Struthio camelus: one gene and its partner. The protein of the gene in region 2 interacts with the protein of the main gene of each other region in a biochemical or structural test. Links are inferred from orthologs where the notes say so. Each region holds a gene or a part of one and is shown on either strand. Other genes may lie near its edges.

The links.
Region 1: the proteins of RNF40 (region 2) and WAC form a complex in vitro, tested with the Homo sapiens proteins (2 studies listed by BioGRID). The link is inferred for Struthio camelus from reciprocal best matches to the Homo sapiens genes RNF40 and WAC.

What each region holds. Positions count from the first base shown.
Region 1 is NC_090943.1:18,551,285-18,558,881, forward strand, and holds the start of WAC (WW domain-containing adapter protein with coiled-coil), read right to left. Parts: upstream 3,025-7,597; 5' UTR 2,468-3,024; coding exon 2,427-2,467; intron 2,258-2,426; coding exon 2,221-2,257; intron 789-2,220; coding exon 593-788; intron 1-592.
Region 2 is NC_090973.1:1,072,123-1,079,533, reverse strand, and holds the start of RNF40 (E3 ubiquitin-protein ligase BRE1B), read right to left. Parts: upstream 3,130-7,411; 5' UTR 3,088-3,129; coding exon 2,956-3,087; intron 1,955-2,955; coding exon 1,787-1,954; intron 1-1,786.

The DNA of each region.
Region 1 (7,597 bases), on a different chromosome or scaffold from region 2:
ACAACAAGCTAGCTGACTTAACTGTGAACATTTCCCTTCCAAGCTCCTGCCGAGAAAGACTCCAGTAAGCGCTAACTTGGATTGTTATTTTCTGATTGTTAAGTTCTACACAGCAGCTAGAAAAAGCAGCAGCTTGTTTCCATTTTTGTGGAGTTTAGTCTATAAAGTGCTCAACTACACAGTATATCATTACAATACACAGAATTATTAAAAATAATAGCACTAGAATATAGTTTTTAAAATAGCAAACATTTGTCAGTGGTAAACCTAGAATACTATTTTATATTACTGAATATTGCAGCAGCATATCTAAATTAAACCTAACTCAGACATACCAGTTAAAAAAAAAAAAAAAAAAAAGATAAGTTTATTTAATCTTTGTGGCCTTAACAAAAACTACCACACCTGTAAAAATAAGAAAATTAAATGATTATTTCCAAAGGAACTGCCATTTTGGTTTCAGTGTAGTCTTCCAAGCATCAGGCACACCACTGAGTATACAGCTCTCCTCATGTCAGTGATAACTGCTAATTTGTAATATTTCTGAGAAATTAGCAATCGCTTAAATAAAGGTTAATTAAAGATAACTCACCACCATCCCTCTCTCTAACTCTGTGAGTATGCACACTTTTTGCTTTAGCGTGCCCTGTGTTGTCACCGTATTTGTTTTCAGGGCTATCAGATCGCCGCAACATTTTATTTGGTGGTGAAGGATCTGTGGTGTCTCGCATCTTGTCATGACGGTGATCACCACCACTGGGGTGACCCTTGGATGAGTATTTAAGAGCCTGTAACACACAACAAGAGAATAGGCATTTATATTCGACTTAAAGTTACAGAAGAGATCTTAAAGTGATATTTTTAAATTTTAAATTCTCTTTCCAGAATACATTTTAAAGTTAATTAATTTTCATTTCCCATTTCAATAATCATCATTAGCCTTTCTGGTTTTAATTACCTACATGAAAGCAACAAGTTCTGTCATTAGAATTCAAACCATTTTCTCCCACTATGATATCCAGTATCACATTTGCTGTTAAGATAAATCTAACTTATTTATCTTTTCACTGGCAGACTACATACTTTCAGCAGCAAATGGGCCACAGCATTTCTGACATTTGTGGAAGAAGCAGAAATCTCTAGTTAGCATTAAAACGATGAGCAAAAAGTTATATTGAATCAGTGTAAACTTTGAATATACGTCCTCCATCTTGCAACTGAGGCAACTTAACTTCACCTCTACCTGGAACTTCTGCAAGCTTTACTTCAGTACAAGCATCTCCGTAACAGAAGTAACAACAAACCTAGAATTCTGGGGACCCACAACATGGAATATGAAAGTTAATTTGGAAATATTTACCAAAAATGACACATTCTGCACGTCTTTGACCTGCGTGATTTTGCAGCGTGAACTTCTGAGTGGCAACTGTTTACATTTACGTGAACTGTCACTGACAGCTGCCTTCGACTGTCAGGTTACATTTCAGTGATACAAATACACAGAAGTGTAATAAAACAACAGCTCAGTTATTTGCCCTAAGGAGAGCAATACCACAATATGCAAGCATTCCCCAGATTCACACCCTCAGAACTAAATTTCTCAGTAGGCAAAGCAGAGGAACGTAGCATCCCTTACAGAAATTAAGGCTCGTCTCAGCAGTTCAAGGATTTGATAGTGGTTTCTGACCATAGCTAGCAGCTGGCAACTGCAGAAATTAGGCCTTACTGGCAACCCCCGTTATTCAGCGTCTAAAATCATGCCCTGCTCAGGTTACAATCCACAGCAGCAGTTTTGGGGAGAAGAGAGGACTTGGGGAGGGGGGCGGGGGAAGAACAAGATGCCTTTTGTTTTTAAAAGGAAAACACTCACCTCCCCCTGGATCTCCACTTACTGCAAGTGACCCCGACTCGCTCTCCCGCCCCTCCTAGCCAGCCCTCCCCGACTCCTAGGCCCAGGCCGTACACGGGCTGTACTAGGCCTCTCCTCCTCGCCCAGGCCCCACAGGCCCCAGACGGGAGCCGCAGCCCCGTCCTCTGCGCACGCAGCCGCCGCCGCCTCCCCCGGCTCCCCCGGGCCCGAAGAGGCGCTGAGGGACGGGGCCGAGGAGGCTGTTGCACCGCGGCCTGCGGCGGCGGCCGAAGCCTACGCTGGAGTAGCTGCCCCCTCCCTTCCCCTCCCCTGCTCCTCCTCCTGGGCCTAGCGGCCGGCGCTTTAGGTACCTGGTAGGGCTGCGAGTCCCCCCTGCGGTCGTGACAGCTAAAGAGAAAGCGAGAGAAAGAGAGAGAGAGAGAGAGAGAGACAGAGAGAGAGACGTTAGCGAACAACCGTTACCGGCCGCCAGGGAAGGGGGCCCAAACATGGCGGAGGGGAGGGGGAGACCCCGCGGGGCAAGGGGCCGGGGGAGGAGGAGGAGGAAGGGATTTACCCATCACTGAGTCTCTGCTGTTTCCTCGCATACATTACCATCAATGCCCGGCCTGTGTGTGTGAGTGTGAGGGGACCAGGAGGGGACGGCCGCGGCCGGGCCACAGGCGCCGAGGGGGGAGGAGGGGGAGGCAGCGCTCCGCCTCGCCGCCGACCGGGGGCAGGGAGGGGGGAAGGGAGGGAGGGGGCGGCTCAGGCGGCTCGGCTGGGAGCAGCGCTCACGGGCCCATCTCCTCCGCACACGGCGAAAGGGGAGACGCCAGCAACTCGGCCCCGCGCGCGCTGAGACACTCCGGGAGCACGGACTCCGCCGCCGCCGCCGTTGCTGCCGCCGCTGCCGCCGCCTCCTCCCCCCGCTGCGCCCGCCGCCGCCGCCGCCGCCGCTCCTCCAACTACATCCGGGAAACTCGGGCGACGCCGCGCTCGGTTAACGTCGGCTCTTTTCGGCTCTTTCCGACGCGCGCCGTCCCCTCTGTCCCCTTTGCTCTCGGGCGACTCTGCCTTCGGGAAACATCGGCTGCCTTCGCCGAGCCCAACGCCCTTCAGTCTCCCCCTTCGGCAAACATCGGCTCCTTCCGTAACTCTCTCCCCTCCCCCTTGCCGCCGGCCGGCCCGCCTCGTCCTTCTCTCGCCAACGCTACCTGTCTTCGGAAAACATCGGTTATTTCCGTAGAGAGGTTTTCACGCTCCCGTCAGGGTGACGCCGCTTTCGGAAATGCTCGGGTATTTCCGTGACCCGCGCGGCCGCCGCCGCCCTGCCCCCGCTCGCAGCGGCCGGCCGAGCAGCCGTTGGCGGGGCGCGGCCGGCTGGTTGGCGGCGGGGAGCGGAGCCCGCGCCGTCCGGCGGGCCGTGCCCCTGGGAGAGGCGGGCGGGCCGGGCTGCGAGGGAGCCGGGCCCCCGCAGGGCAGCCGGCCTCCTCGGTGGCAACCGACGGGGCGGGAACGCCAGGCAGGTGGGGGCAATAGGGGGAATTGCGAGAGAACCGGCGCGGGGGAGGGGGCAACGCCCGGCTACGAGATAGGAAAGGGAAGGTCTCCTCTTACCTCCCCCCTCCTCCCCTTCCGCCCAGGGATTTGATGTATAGTCAGGAGCCATTTTGTGTACGTTTCGCCTTCTGCGAGGAAGCGCTCGGCGGTAAAGAGGATGTTAAAATGTCCCTGGGGAGGCGATGGCGGCGCGGGTCGGGGCGCCTCCCGCGCGGCCCGGCTGCCGTGGCGGAGCCGGTTTTGTGCGACACGCGGGGACGGGGCCTCGCTCCCGGCCCCCGGGGGAGCGCGGCGAGGCCGTCGCCGCCGCGGGGGGGGTGCCTGGCCGCCTCCCGGCAGCGAGCGGAGCCTCTGCGTTTCGGCAGAGGTATAAAATCACCATCCGGGCGCCCCAGAGGCCCCAGCGGCGCCAGAGGGGTTTGCTCCGGGCAGCCCCTAGGTAGTTGGGGCGAAGCGGATGCCTCGTGCTGGGCTTGAGGAGACGGTGCCCTCTCACAGAGGCTTCTGGAGGGGGCCGGTGGTCACTGCTGAGCCCCCTCTCCCGGGAAAGGGTCACCCGGCAATTTCTGACCAAACACCCAACGTTTGAGGTACAAAGCATCATATATTCAGAACGGTATTAAGACCTTATTTAAATACAGTAAATGTAGCTTGTTATCCACAGTAGAGCGTTGCCATCACGGAGTGAAGGATCAATTTGCAGTGAAGGTAAATTTGTGGACCCTCAATTTTGCCCTGCTCCCCTTCTTGGGAAGGGAAGAAACGTGGGACACCTCAGAACTGGTATATTAAGCTTAAAACAGAGCGTTTTTCCTTATGGCTACGTCTATGCTAGTGTAGGATTGATGACAACTCTGCTACACAATTTTTGTTTCTGTTTTTTTTAATTACAGTGCAGAAGGCTGTTGCTGAGAGGAGACTTCAGGGACCAGTGGTAGAGCTCAGGGAGAGCTGTGGAGGATGACTCAGCAGGGAGCTGCTCTGCAGGGTTACAATAATGAGCTAGTGAAATGCATTGAAGACTTATGTATGCAAAAAGAAGAGCTGAACAAACAAATCCAGCAAGCGGAAGAAGAAAAAAATAAACTCCAGCATGAAATCCAAGTCCTGAGTGAGAAACTGGAGTGCGTATGTGAAAACCTAGCCCAAAAGGTAGCCTCACGGAACGAGCTTGACAAAATTCTTGCTGAAACTGAAGCTGCTTACATGAAGATTTTGGATAGTTCTAGAACTTTACTTAATGTCCTGAAGAAGGAAGTGGGAAGCTTAAAGAGTTCGCCAGAACTGAAAAGCCATGTAACCTGAAACTGTCAAATGTTTGGACTCCATAGTTCTGAAATTCCACTAGGTGAGAAATGTGGTTAGCCACAGAAGCCTCCGACAACAGTATAAGCGGAAAGGGGCTCTCTTCCAACTTTTCTATATGTTTTTCTTGTTTTTTTTAATATATCAGAAATTCTGTAGAGCCTAGATGAAATAAAGTTTTTGTTTTGCTTTAAAAAAAACCCTATGTAGTTACTTAAATCACTACAAACTATACTGCAAATAGGTAGCTGAGGCAGGTGTGAGGCTGTCAGGCTGTCAGTTTTGGTGTGAGCTGTTCTCACAGCTCTTCTGAAGATGGCAGGAAAACACTTTTACTAATCAGACTTTGGTTACCATTGAATTTCTGTTTGGTTGAATAATACTTTAAACCTGGAGAGAATGCTTTTTTTTTTTTTTTTTTTTCCTTCTTCCCCTTAGTTCTTTTACCCAAAGCCATGCATATTGCTCCGTTGTGGAATCTTACCCCATCCTTTTGTCCTTCTTTTCCTTACTTACCTGTTTAGAAAGAAACTCACTGTAAAACTAGTGGATCTGTGTAGATCAGATACTACTTGTTTTCCCTGCACAAGTATTGCTATTTATTTTGAACTGTTAGGAGCCAAATAGAAACAAACTATTTATCTCCTTCCTTTAGGAGCGTGTTCTCCATTTGGCACATGCACAGAGGCAAGCCCCTCTTTACAATCAACTCCTATTAGCTGGAATAATGGAGCAGTAAGGTGAGAAAGTAACACAGGACATCTTAGGATATAAGACTGTATATAGATTAATTCATCTTCTGAAAGTATATTCAGAACCCTCTTTAGAAGAGAATTGTGTCATGGTGAAAAACTGGTTTTGGCATAAGTGCATGCTTTCTACTTCCAGGGTACAGTGCTGCAGGCATCTATACTGTGTAAGCTGGGACCAATTAACCCACTTACAGATGATCAAAAGATGACTATGAATATTTCAATAGCTCTAGATGATCTTACAAATAGTAGAATTTAATCAAAATATTGTGTTAAATATAAAGCCGAAGAAGATAATTAGAGCTAAAAGCCAATACTAGAACTGCTAGAAACCTTATTTCTAGTGCACTTTAGCACTGTCCTGATATACTAAAAGTTTATAGTAAGGTTGTCAAGAATAGTAACACGAAATGGAGAGAAATAAATACAAACTAAAGTAGAAAATGAGATTAGAACGGGTTCTGCAGCTGTCAGGTGTTCTTACAGGTGTGGTTAAAATAAAATCTCATTTAGAGATTGGGGAGGAGGTAACAGCATGGCAGAAATCCCAATTTAATCTTGTTTTCTATTTCTAGCACTTAACCTCTCTGTGTGTTGGTGTGTATATGTGCATATATTTTGCCCTATTCGTTCAGGTACTACAGCAGTAACTTTGTTTTTAAGCAAAACTAACTTAAAAATTTGACTACTAGTCCTAAATCTTTATTCCATAGCTAGTCACTAAATTTAAAGAAGGGCAAATCTAATCTTAACAAACTTGTGCATCTCTCAAGTGCAAGTGCAAAGGGTATGTGTATATGAATAGTTTCTGACAGTAATAGCTCTTCGCCAATTATGTGAAGCAAATGTTATGTTCTTCTGATTGCCGTGCTATAACTTTTGAATAAACTTAACATGAGGGATGAGCGAGACTGGGCTAATCAACAACTTACCTGTATAACATTTCCCCTGCCTTACCTTCAGTAATGCTGAAGTGATAAAATTAGGTGAAGCCAGGGTTACTGCTATTGTTGCAACACTGCTGTATTCACGATATTGAGATAAAAACAAATTTTACTTCAGTGTCTTCAATGACTCGCATTGAAGTAAAAACAAAAGCAAAAATGTTGTTCTTTCATAGCAAAAAAGGTGATTTGACTGGATGTATTGAGGTATTTTCTCCTTACTCAGTCTGATTATAGTCATAACTACCATCAAAATAGGAAGTCTTAGGAAAACATACTATCTAAATAGCAAGGACTTTTTGTTTTACAGTTGAATGTGTAAGCTGTTTCATCTTATCTGAAAGGGAGCTTAAAATTGTCTTACTGAAAAAGAACTTGTATCATGGAAACTTCGGTTATAGGGAGTTCACAATACAGTTTTATTCTTGTATTGTCCATCTCTATTAGACAATAGTTACAGGTTTGTTTTAGAATAATCATATAGTATGAATAGGGCATCCTCTTGCTCTGTTTAGGTAGTTAAAGTGGTGTTAAGCCTTTTAAGTTGAAGTCTACTTTACAACCTTTATTGCCTCTAAATCAAGCTATTACAATGTCGAAACTAAATGACTTCAGATATTTCATCTTTTCTAAGTTACAAAAACAAGGGAAAATGACTGTCTAGTCATCTAAGCACACTGGGCTTCCCAGGTTTCAAATAGAAAGCTGGTGTCAAAATTCCATGCAGTAATCACAGTCTGTAAAATTTCTATTTAAACTCAGATTCACAAACGGAGAGCAATACACAGTATATCTCTACGGCTTGCTATTTGTAGAATAACTCCTGAGTGTGGCACTCATGAGGTAAGTGCGTCTACCGAGTTGTTACTCAAAAATAGTTCTTGCCATAATATTCTGCATTGGCACAAATGAATTTATTGTATCATTATTCAAGTGGTAAGCCTTTTTTAATGCATAGCTTTCTGTAATTTTTTTCAAGTAATATACCTCCTCACATAAATAGCTTTTCTTGAACAGCTTCAGTTTGTTTAGAATAGAATATTTAGAAAAAAAAAAATGAATACACAGACATTGCTAGAGCAGAAGTGATAAACTGGAGCTTACTGTGACTCTGTAGGGCTGGCCTGCAAAGGAAAGTTTATCTGAAGTAAGACAGGTTATAAATTTAAGCATCTCATTTATTC
Region 2 (7,411 bases):
TGGGGTTTGGGGTTCGGGGACGGGATTTTGGGGGGTCAGGACAGGATTTTGGGGGGTGGAAGACAGGATTTTGGGGTGCCGGGATGGGATTTGGGGTTCGGGGACGGGACTTTGGGGCCCCGGGATGGGATTTTGGGGCTGGAAGACAGGATTTTGGGGTGTCAGGGTGGGATTTGGGGGTTCAAAAACAGGATTTTGGGGGGTCAGGACAGGATTTTGGGGGGTGGAAGACAGGATTTTGGGGTGCCGGGACGGGGTTTGGGGTTCGGGGACAGGACTTTGGGGCCCCGGGATGGGATTTTGGGGCTGGAAGAGAGGATTTTGGGGTGTTAGGATGGGGTTTGGGGGTTCAAAAACAGGATTTTAGGAGGTCAGGACAGGATTTTGGGGGGTCAGGACAGGATTTTGGGGTGCCGGGACGGGGTTTGGGGTGCCGGGACGGGGTTTGGGGTTCGGGGACGGGGTTTGGGGTTCGGGGACGGGACTTTGGGGCACCGGGATGGGATTTTGGGGCTGGAAGACAGGATTTTGGGGTGCCAGGATGAGATTTGGGGGTTCAAAAACAGGATTTGGGGGGGTCAGGACAGGACTTTGGGGGGTGGAAGACAGGATTTTGGGGTGCCAGGATGGGGTTTGGGGTTCGGGGACAGGACTTTGGGGCCCCAGGATGGGATTTTGGGGCTGGAAGACAGGATTTTGGGGTGTCAGGATGGGGTTTGGGGTTTGGGGACGGGATTTTGGGGGGTGGAAGACAGGATTTTGGGGTGCCGGGATGGGATTTGGGGTTCGGGGACGGGACTTTGGGGCCCCGGGATGGGATTTTGGGGCTGGAAGACAGGATTTTGGGGTGTCAGGGTGGGATTTGGGGGTTCAAAAACAGGATTTTGGGGGGTCAGGACAGGATTTTGGGGGGTGGAAGACAGGATTTTGGGGTGCCGGGACGGGGTTTGGGGTTCGGGGACAGGACTTTGGGGCCCCAGGATGGGATTTTGGGGCTGGAAGACAGGATTTTGGGGTGTCAGGATGGGGTTTGGGGTTTGGGGACGGGATTTTGGGGGGTCAGGACAGGATTTTGGGGGGTGGAAGACAGGATTTTGGGGTGCCGGGATGGGATTTGGGGTTCGGGGATGGGACTTTGGGGCCCCGGGATGGGATTTTGGGGCTGGAAGACAGGATTTTGGGGTGTCAGGGTGGGATTTGGGGGTTCAAAAACAGGATTTTGGGGGGTCAGGACAGGATTTTGGGGGGTGGAAGACAGGATTTTGGGGTGCCGGGACGGGGTTTGGGGTTCGGGGACGGGACTTTGGGGCCCCGGGATGGGATTTTGGGGCTGGAAGACAGGATTTTGGGGTGTCAGGATGGGGTTTGGGGTTCGGGGACGTGATTTTGGGGGGTCAGGACAGGATTTTGGGGGGTGGAAGACAGGATTTTGGGGTGCCGGGATGGGGTTTGGGGTTCGGGGACAGGACTTTGGGGCGTCAGGATGGGATTTTGGGGCTGGAAGACAGGATTTTGGGGTGTCAGGATGGGGTTTGGGGTTCGGGGACGGGATTTTGGGGGGTCAGGACAGGATTTTGGGGGGTGGAAGACAGGATTTTGGGGTGCCGGGATGGGGTTTGGGGTTCGGGGACAGGACTTTGGGGCCCCGGGATGGGATTTTGGGGCTGGAAGACAGGATTTTGGGGTGTCAGGATGGGGTTTGGGGTTCGGGGACGGGATTTTGGGGTGCCAGGATGCAATTTGGGGTCAGGGATGGGGTTTTGGGGGGGGGGGGGGGACACGCCACCTGGCCCCAGTAGCGGTTGACGATGAGGAGGGTGGCGTCGTCGGTGGCCTGGCGCTTCTCGAGCTTCTCGATGCGCTCGCGCAGCTCGTCCTCGCACGCCTGCCGCTGCTCCAGCCGCTCCGCCAGCTTCTTGTTCTTGAACTGCAGCACCTTCAGGTCCATCTCCTCCTGCGGGGCCCAGGCGTCCGGGCGCGCCGTCAGCCTCCCGCGGCGCCCCCCCACCCCCGGCAACCCGGGGTCCCCCCCCCCACCCCACCTTCCGCCTCTGCCAGGCTCAGGCCGCTCTGGGGGGCCCAGGTGTCCGGGGGACCCAGGCGTCCTGGCATCCCGGCCAAGCTCAGGCCGCTCTGGGGGGCCCAGGTGTCCGGGGCACCCAGGCGTCCCAACATCCATACCAGGCTCAGGCCACTCTGGGGGGCCCAGGTGTCCGGGGGGCCCAGGTGTCCTGGCATCCCGGCCAAGCTCAGGCCACTCTGGGGGGCCCAGGTGTCCGGGGGGCCCAGGTGTCCCAGCACCCATCATGCTCAGGTGACCTCAGAGGACCCAGGCCTCTGGGGGACCCAGGTGTCCTGGCATCCCGGCCAATCCGCGGGGCCCAGGCGTCCGGGCACCCACCAGGTTCAGGCCACCCCAGGGGACCCAGGTGTCTGGGGGGCCCAGGTGTCCGGGCCTGGGAAGGTCTGGCCACCCCAGGGGACCCAGGTGTCTGGCAGGGGGGAGGGGGGAGAGGAGAAGGGACCCAGGCGTCCGGGGGCAGGATGGACCCAGGCGACCGGGTGTGCAGGGGGGGAGAGGGGACCCAGGCGTCCGGGTGTGAGAAGGACCCAGGCGTCCGGGTTGGGGGGGGGGGGGGGGGGGGAAGAGGGGACCCAGGCGCCCGGGGGGGGGGGGGGGGGGACCCAGGCGTCCGGGGGCAGGATGGACCCAGGCGTCCGGGTGGGGGGGGGGGGGGGAAGAGGGGACCCAGGCGTCCGGGGTGGGGGGGACGGACCCAGGCGCCCGGGGGGGGGGGGGAGAGGGGACCCAGGCGTCCGGGGGGGGGACCCAGGCGCCCGGGGGGGAGGGGGGGACCCAGGCGCCCGGGGGGGAGGGGGGGGGAAGAGGGGGGACCCAGGTGTCCGGGGGAGAGAGGGGACCCAGGCGTCCGGGGGCGCGCAGCGGGTACCCACCGTGGAGGAGATGCCGCCGAGGCGCAGGGGCTCGATGAGGGTGGTCGGGGGCTGCTCGTCGCGCGGCGCCTTCTTCTCGGGGGGGCCGGCGCCCCCCTCGCCCGCCGCCCGCTTGCCCCCCGCCCCCGACATGGCGCCGGCCGGACGGGGCCGCCCGGAGCGCTGGCCGGTGACGCTGAGGAGCAGAGCGCGACCGGGAGTCGCGGTGAGTAACAGGGAGTAACAAGGAGTAACGTAGAGTAACAGTGAGTATCCAGGGGGTGGGGGGGAGGGAGCAACGCTGAGCATTGGGGAGTAACGGGGAGTAACAAGGGGCGAGGGGTGAACAGGAAAATGAGGGGGTAACAGGGAGTAACAAAGAGCAACATCAAGTAACAGCGGGTATCAGGGCGGGGCGGGGAAAGAGGGAGTAACGCTGGGCATTGGGGGGTAACGAGGGGGAAATGGGGAGTAACGCGGGGTGAGAGCTGAATAGGAAAATGAGATAGTAACAGCAAGTAACAAGGAGTAACACCAAGTAACAGCAGGTATCAGGGCGGGGTGGGGGGAAGAGGGAGCAATGCTGAGCATTGGGTGGCAACGGGGAGTAATGCAGGGTGAGGGGTGAACAGGAACATGAGAGAGTAACAGGGAGTAACGAGGAGTAACGCCAAGTAACAGCAGGTATGACAGCGGGACGGGTGGGAGAGGGAACAACACTGGCATTAGGGGGGTAACAAGGGGGAAACGGGGAGTAACAAGGCGTGAGAGCTAAATAGGAAAATGAGATAGTAACAGGAAGTAACAAGGAGCAACGTCAAGTAACAGCAGGTATCAGGGCAGGACGGGGAAGACGGAGCAAAGCCGGGCATTGGGGGGTAACGGAGTAACGCGGGGTGAGCGGTGATAGGAAAATGAGGGAGTAACAGGGAGTAACAAGGAGTAACATTGAGTAGCAACGGGTATCCGGGCGGGATGGGGAAAGGGGGAGTAACGCTGGGCATTGGGGGGGTAATGAGGGGGAAATGGGGAGTAACGCGGGGTGAGAGCTGAATAGGAAAATGAGATAGTAACAGGAAGTAACAAGGAGTGACATCGAGTAACAGCAGCTGTCAGGGAGAAATGGGGGGAACAGGGAGCAACGCTGAGCAATGGGGGGTAACAGGGAGTAATGCAGGGATGAGGGGTGACAGGAAAATGAGGGAGTAACAGGGAGTAACGTCAAGTAACAGTGGGTATCAGGGCAGAATGGGGGAAGAGGAAGCAACACTGAGCATTAGGAAGTAACAGGGGAACAAGGAGTAATGCGAGATGAGGGGGAAACACGAAAATGATGGCGTAACAGGGAGTAACAAGGAGTAACGGGGAATAATTAGGGGTGTTATAAAAGGGTAACAGCGAAACGGGCTGTAATGGGACTGGGAAAGGCCGGGGGGAAGGGGGCAGCGGGGGAGTAACGAGGGGAAAGGGGGGGAATGGGGAAGTAATAGGGGGTAACAAGGTGTTATTAAGAGAGTAACGCTGGTTACAAAGCAGGAGGAGCTAATGACGCAGTAACAGAGTAACGTGAACTAATAAAGCAGCAAAGCAAGAGTAACATAAAAATACAGAATAATAAAATAAAAAGGAGCAGTAACAAGGTGAGAAAAGGGGAACGGGAGAGTAATGCAGAGTAACAACGCAGTCACGCTACTCGAGAAAGAGTAACAGCGGTTACAAGGCGGAAAAAGGGAGCCAGCAGGGGAGAAAGGCAGAGGAGGGGGACCGTGGGAGTAACACAGAGTAACAAGGGGCGGTAAAAGAACAACAAAGAGCAGGGTAACAAAGGGGAGAAGGGAGTAACGAGCGGAAAAGGGGGGACGGGAAGTAACATAGGGTAACAAGCAGCAGGCGCTACGGGGGGGAGGAAAGGGGGGTAATGGTGGAGTAACGCAGAGTAACCAGCAGTAACAAGGGGGTTATACGAGAGCAACTGGAATACGGGGGATAACGAAAGGGGAATGGGGAGGTAACGTGGAGTAACATGGAGTAACATGTGACTTAGAGTAATGGTGGGTAGGAAAGGGAAAAGAGAGCTAACAGGGGAGTAAAACAAAAAATTGGGGGGGGGGGGAGTAACACAGGGTAACAAAGAGTAACAGTGCAGCCACAAAAGAGTAATAGGAAAACAGGTGGCGACGAGGGAAGAAAAAAAGGTGGGGGGGGGGGGACAAGAGTAACATGAAGTAACAAGACAGTCATAGAGAAGTAACAGGGATTGCAGGGGGACAAAAGGGGGCTAATGGGGCAGTAACACAGAGTAACACAGAGTAACAAGGAGGTTATAAGACAATAATGACGAAAACAAGGTAACAACCAGGGAAAGGGGCAAACGAAGGATGAAAGAACGGCGACGCCGGACCGACGGGCAGAAAGTGGGCAAACGGGGGAGTAACACGGAGTAACGAGGAGTAACAAAAAGATTACAGAAGACGAACAGGGTAGAAGCAGGGTAACAAGCGAACAAGGAGGGTAGGAGGGGACAACAGGCAAAAAGGGGGAAACGGGGAAGTAACACAGAGTAACAAGGAGTAACGACAGGGTCAGAAAAACAGTAATAAGGGAAGAGAGTAACGGGGGAGTAACGAGCAGAAAATGGGGGAATGGGGGAGTAACAGAGTAACGAGGGGTAACGAAGGGGTTGTAAAGGAGGGATGGGGAAACAGCACAACGAAGAAAAGAGTAATAAGGCAGTAACGGGCACAAAAAGGAGAAAGAAATACTAACACAGAGTAACAAAGGGGTTACGGGGGGGACAAGGGGCACGACGAATAACGGGGTAACAACAGGGGGATAACAGGGGAGCAAGGGGCAGAAAAGGGGGAAACAGGGGTAACGAGGGACTAATGAAGGGTAACGAGGGGGTAAAAGGGAGGTAACAGCGGAGAAGCGGGCAGAAAAGGGGAAACGAGGAAATGATGGGGGTAATGGGGTGCACGAGGGTAACGGGGGTGATACAGAGGTTGCTGCAGGGTAAGGAAGGGTAACGGGGTAACAACGGGGTAACACGGGAATAACGGGGGTAACAAGGTGGTAACAAGGGGTAACAAGGAGGATAACGGGGGGGACAAGAGAGTAACACGGGTCCTGAGGGGTTAATGGGAGGGTAACGGGGGTACCGAGAGGTAACAGGAGGGTAACAGGGGCCCAAAAGCTAAAGTGGGGGGGGGAACCAGGGGAGAACAAGGGGTAACAGGGAGGGTACCAGGGGGATGATAGAGGGTGATGGGGGGGCAATAAGGGAGGGATAACAGAGGTCTCCAGGGGTAATGGGGGGGGGTAATGGGGATGCTCAGGGGTAACAGGGGTCCCAGGGGTAACACGGAGTAGTGGGGGGGGTAATGGGGGTCCCCAGGGGTAAGTGGGGGAAGGGGGGTAATGGGGGGTAACGGCAGTAATGGGGGTCCCCGGGGTAACGGGGATGCCCAGGGGTAACGGAGTAATGGGATGGGGTAACGGGATGGGGTAACAGAGGGGTAACCGGGGGGTAATGGGGGGTCCCTGGGGTAACAGGGGGTAAAGGAGGGTAAGGGGGGGTGTTCAAGGGTAACAGACGGTAACGGGTGTCCCCAGGGGTAACGAGGGGGAATGGGGTGAACAGGGATGCCCAGGGGTAATGGGGGTAACAGGGGTCCCCAGGGGTAACAGGGGAGTAATGGAGGGGAACAGGACTCCCCCGGGGTAATGGGGGGTAACGGGGGTCCCCAGGGGTAATGCGGAAGTAATGGGGGGTAACGGGGGTCCCCAGGGGTAATGGGGGGGGAAATGGGGGGTATAATGGGGGTCCCCAGGGGTAATGGGGGGGGAAATGGGGGGTATAATGGGGGTCCCCAGGGGTAATGGGGGGGGAAATGGGGGGTATAATGGGGGTCCCCAGGGGTAATGGGGGGGGAAATGGGGGGTATAATGGGGGTCCCCAGGGGTAATGGGGGGGGAAATGGGGGGTATAATGGGGGTCCCCAGGGGTAATGGGGGGGGGAAATGGGGGGTATAATGGGGGTCCCCAGGGGTAATGGGGGGGGAAATGGGGGGTAACGGGGGGTAATGAGGATCCCCAGGGTAACGAGGAAGAAACAGGAGGTAATGGGGGGGGGGGAACAGCGGTCCCCAGGGTAATGGGGGGGGTAATGAGGGTCCCCAGGATAATGAGGGGGTAATGGGGATACCCAGGGGTAACAGGGGGTAATAGAGAAGTAATGAGGGTCCCTGGGGTGGGGGGGGGAACTGAGATTAACATGGGGGGGCCCAGGGGTAACAGAGGGGACAATGGGGGGGGGGACAGCACTACCCAAGGGTAATGGGGGGGGTGTAATGAGGGTCCCCGGGGTAATGGGGAGGGTAACAGGGATGCCCGGGGGTAATGGGGGGGGGGGTTATTGAGGAGTAATGGGAGGGTAATGGGGAGGTGTAAAGAGGGTCCCTGGGGTAACGGGGGGGG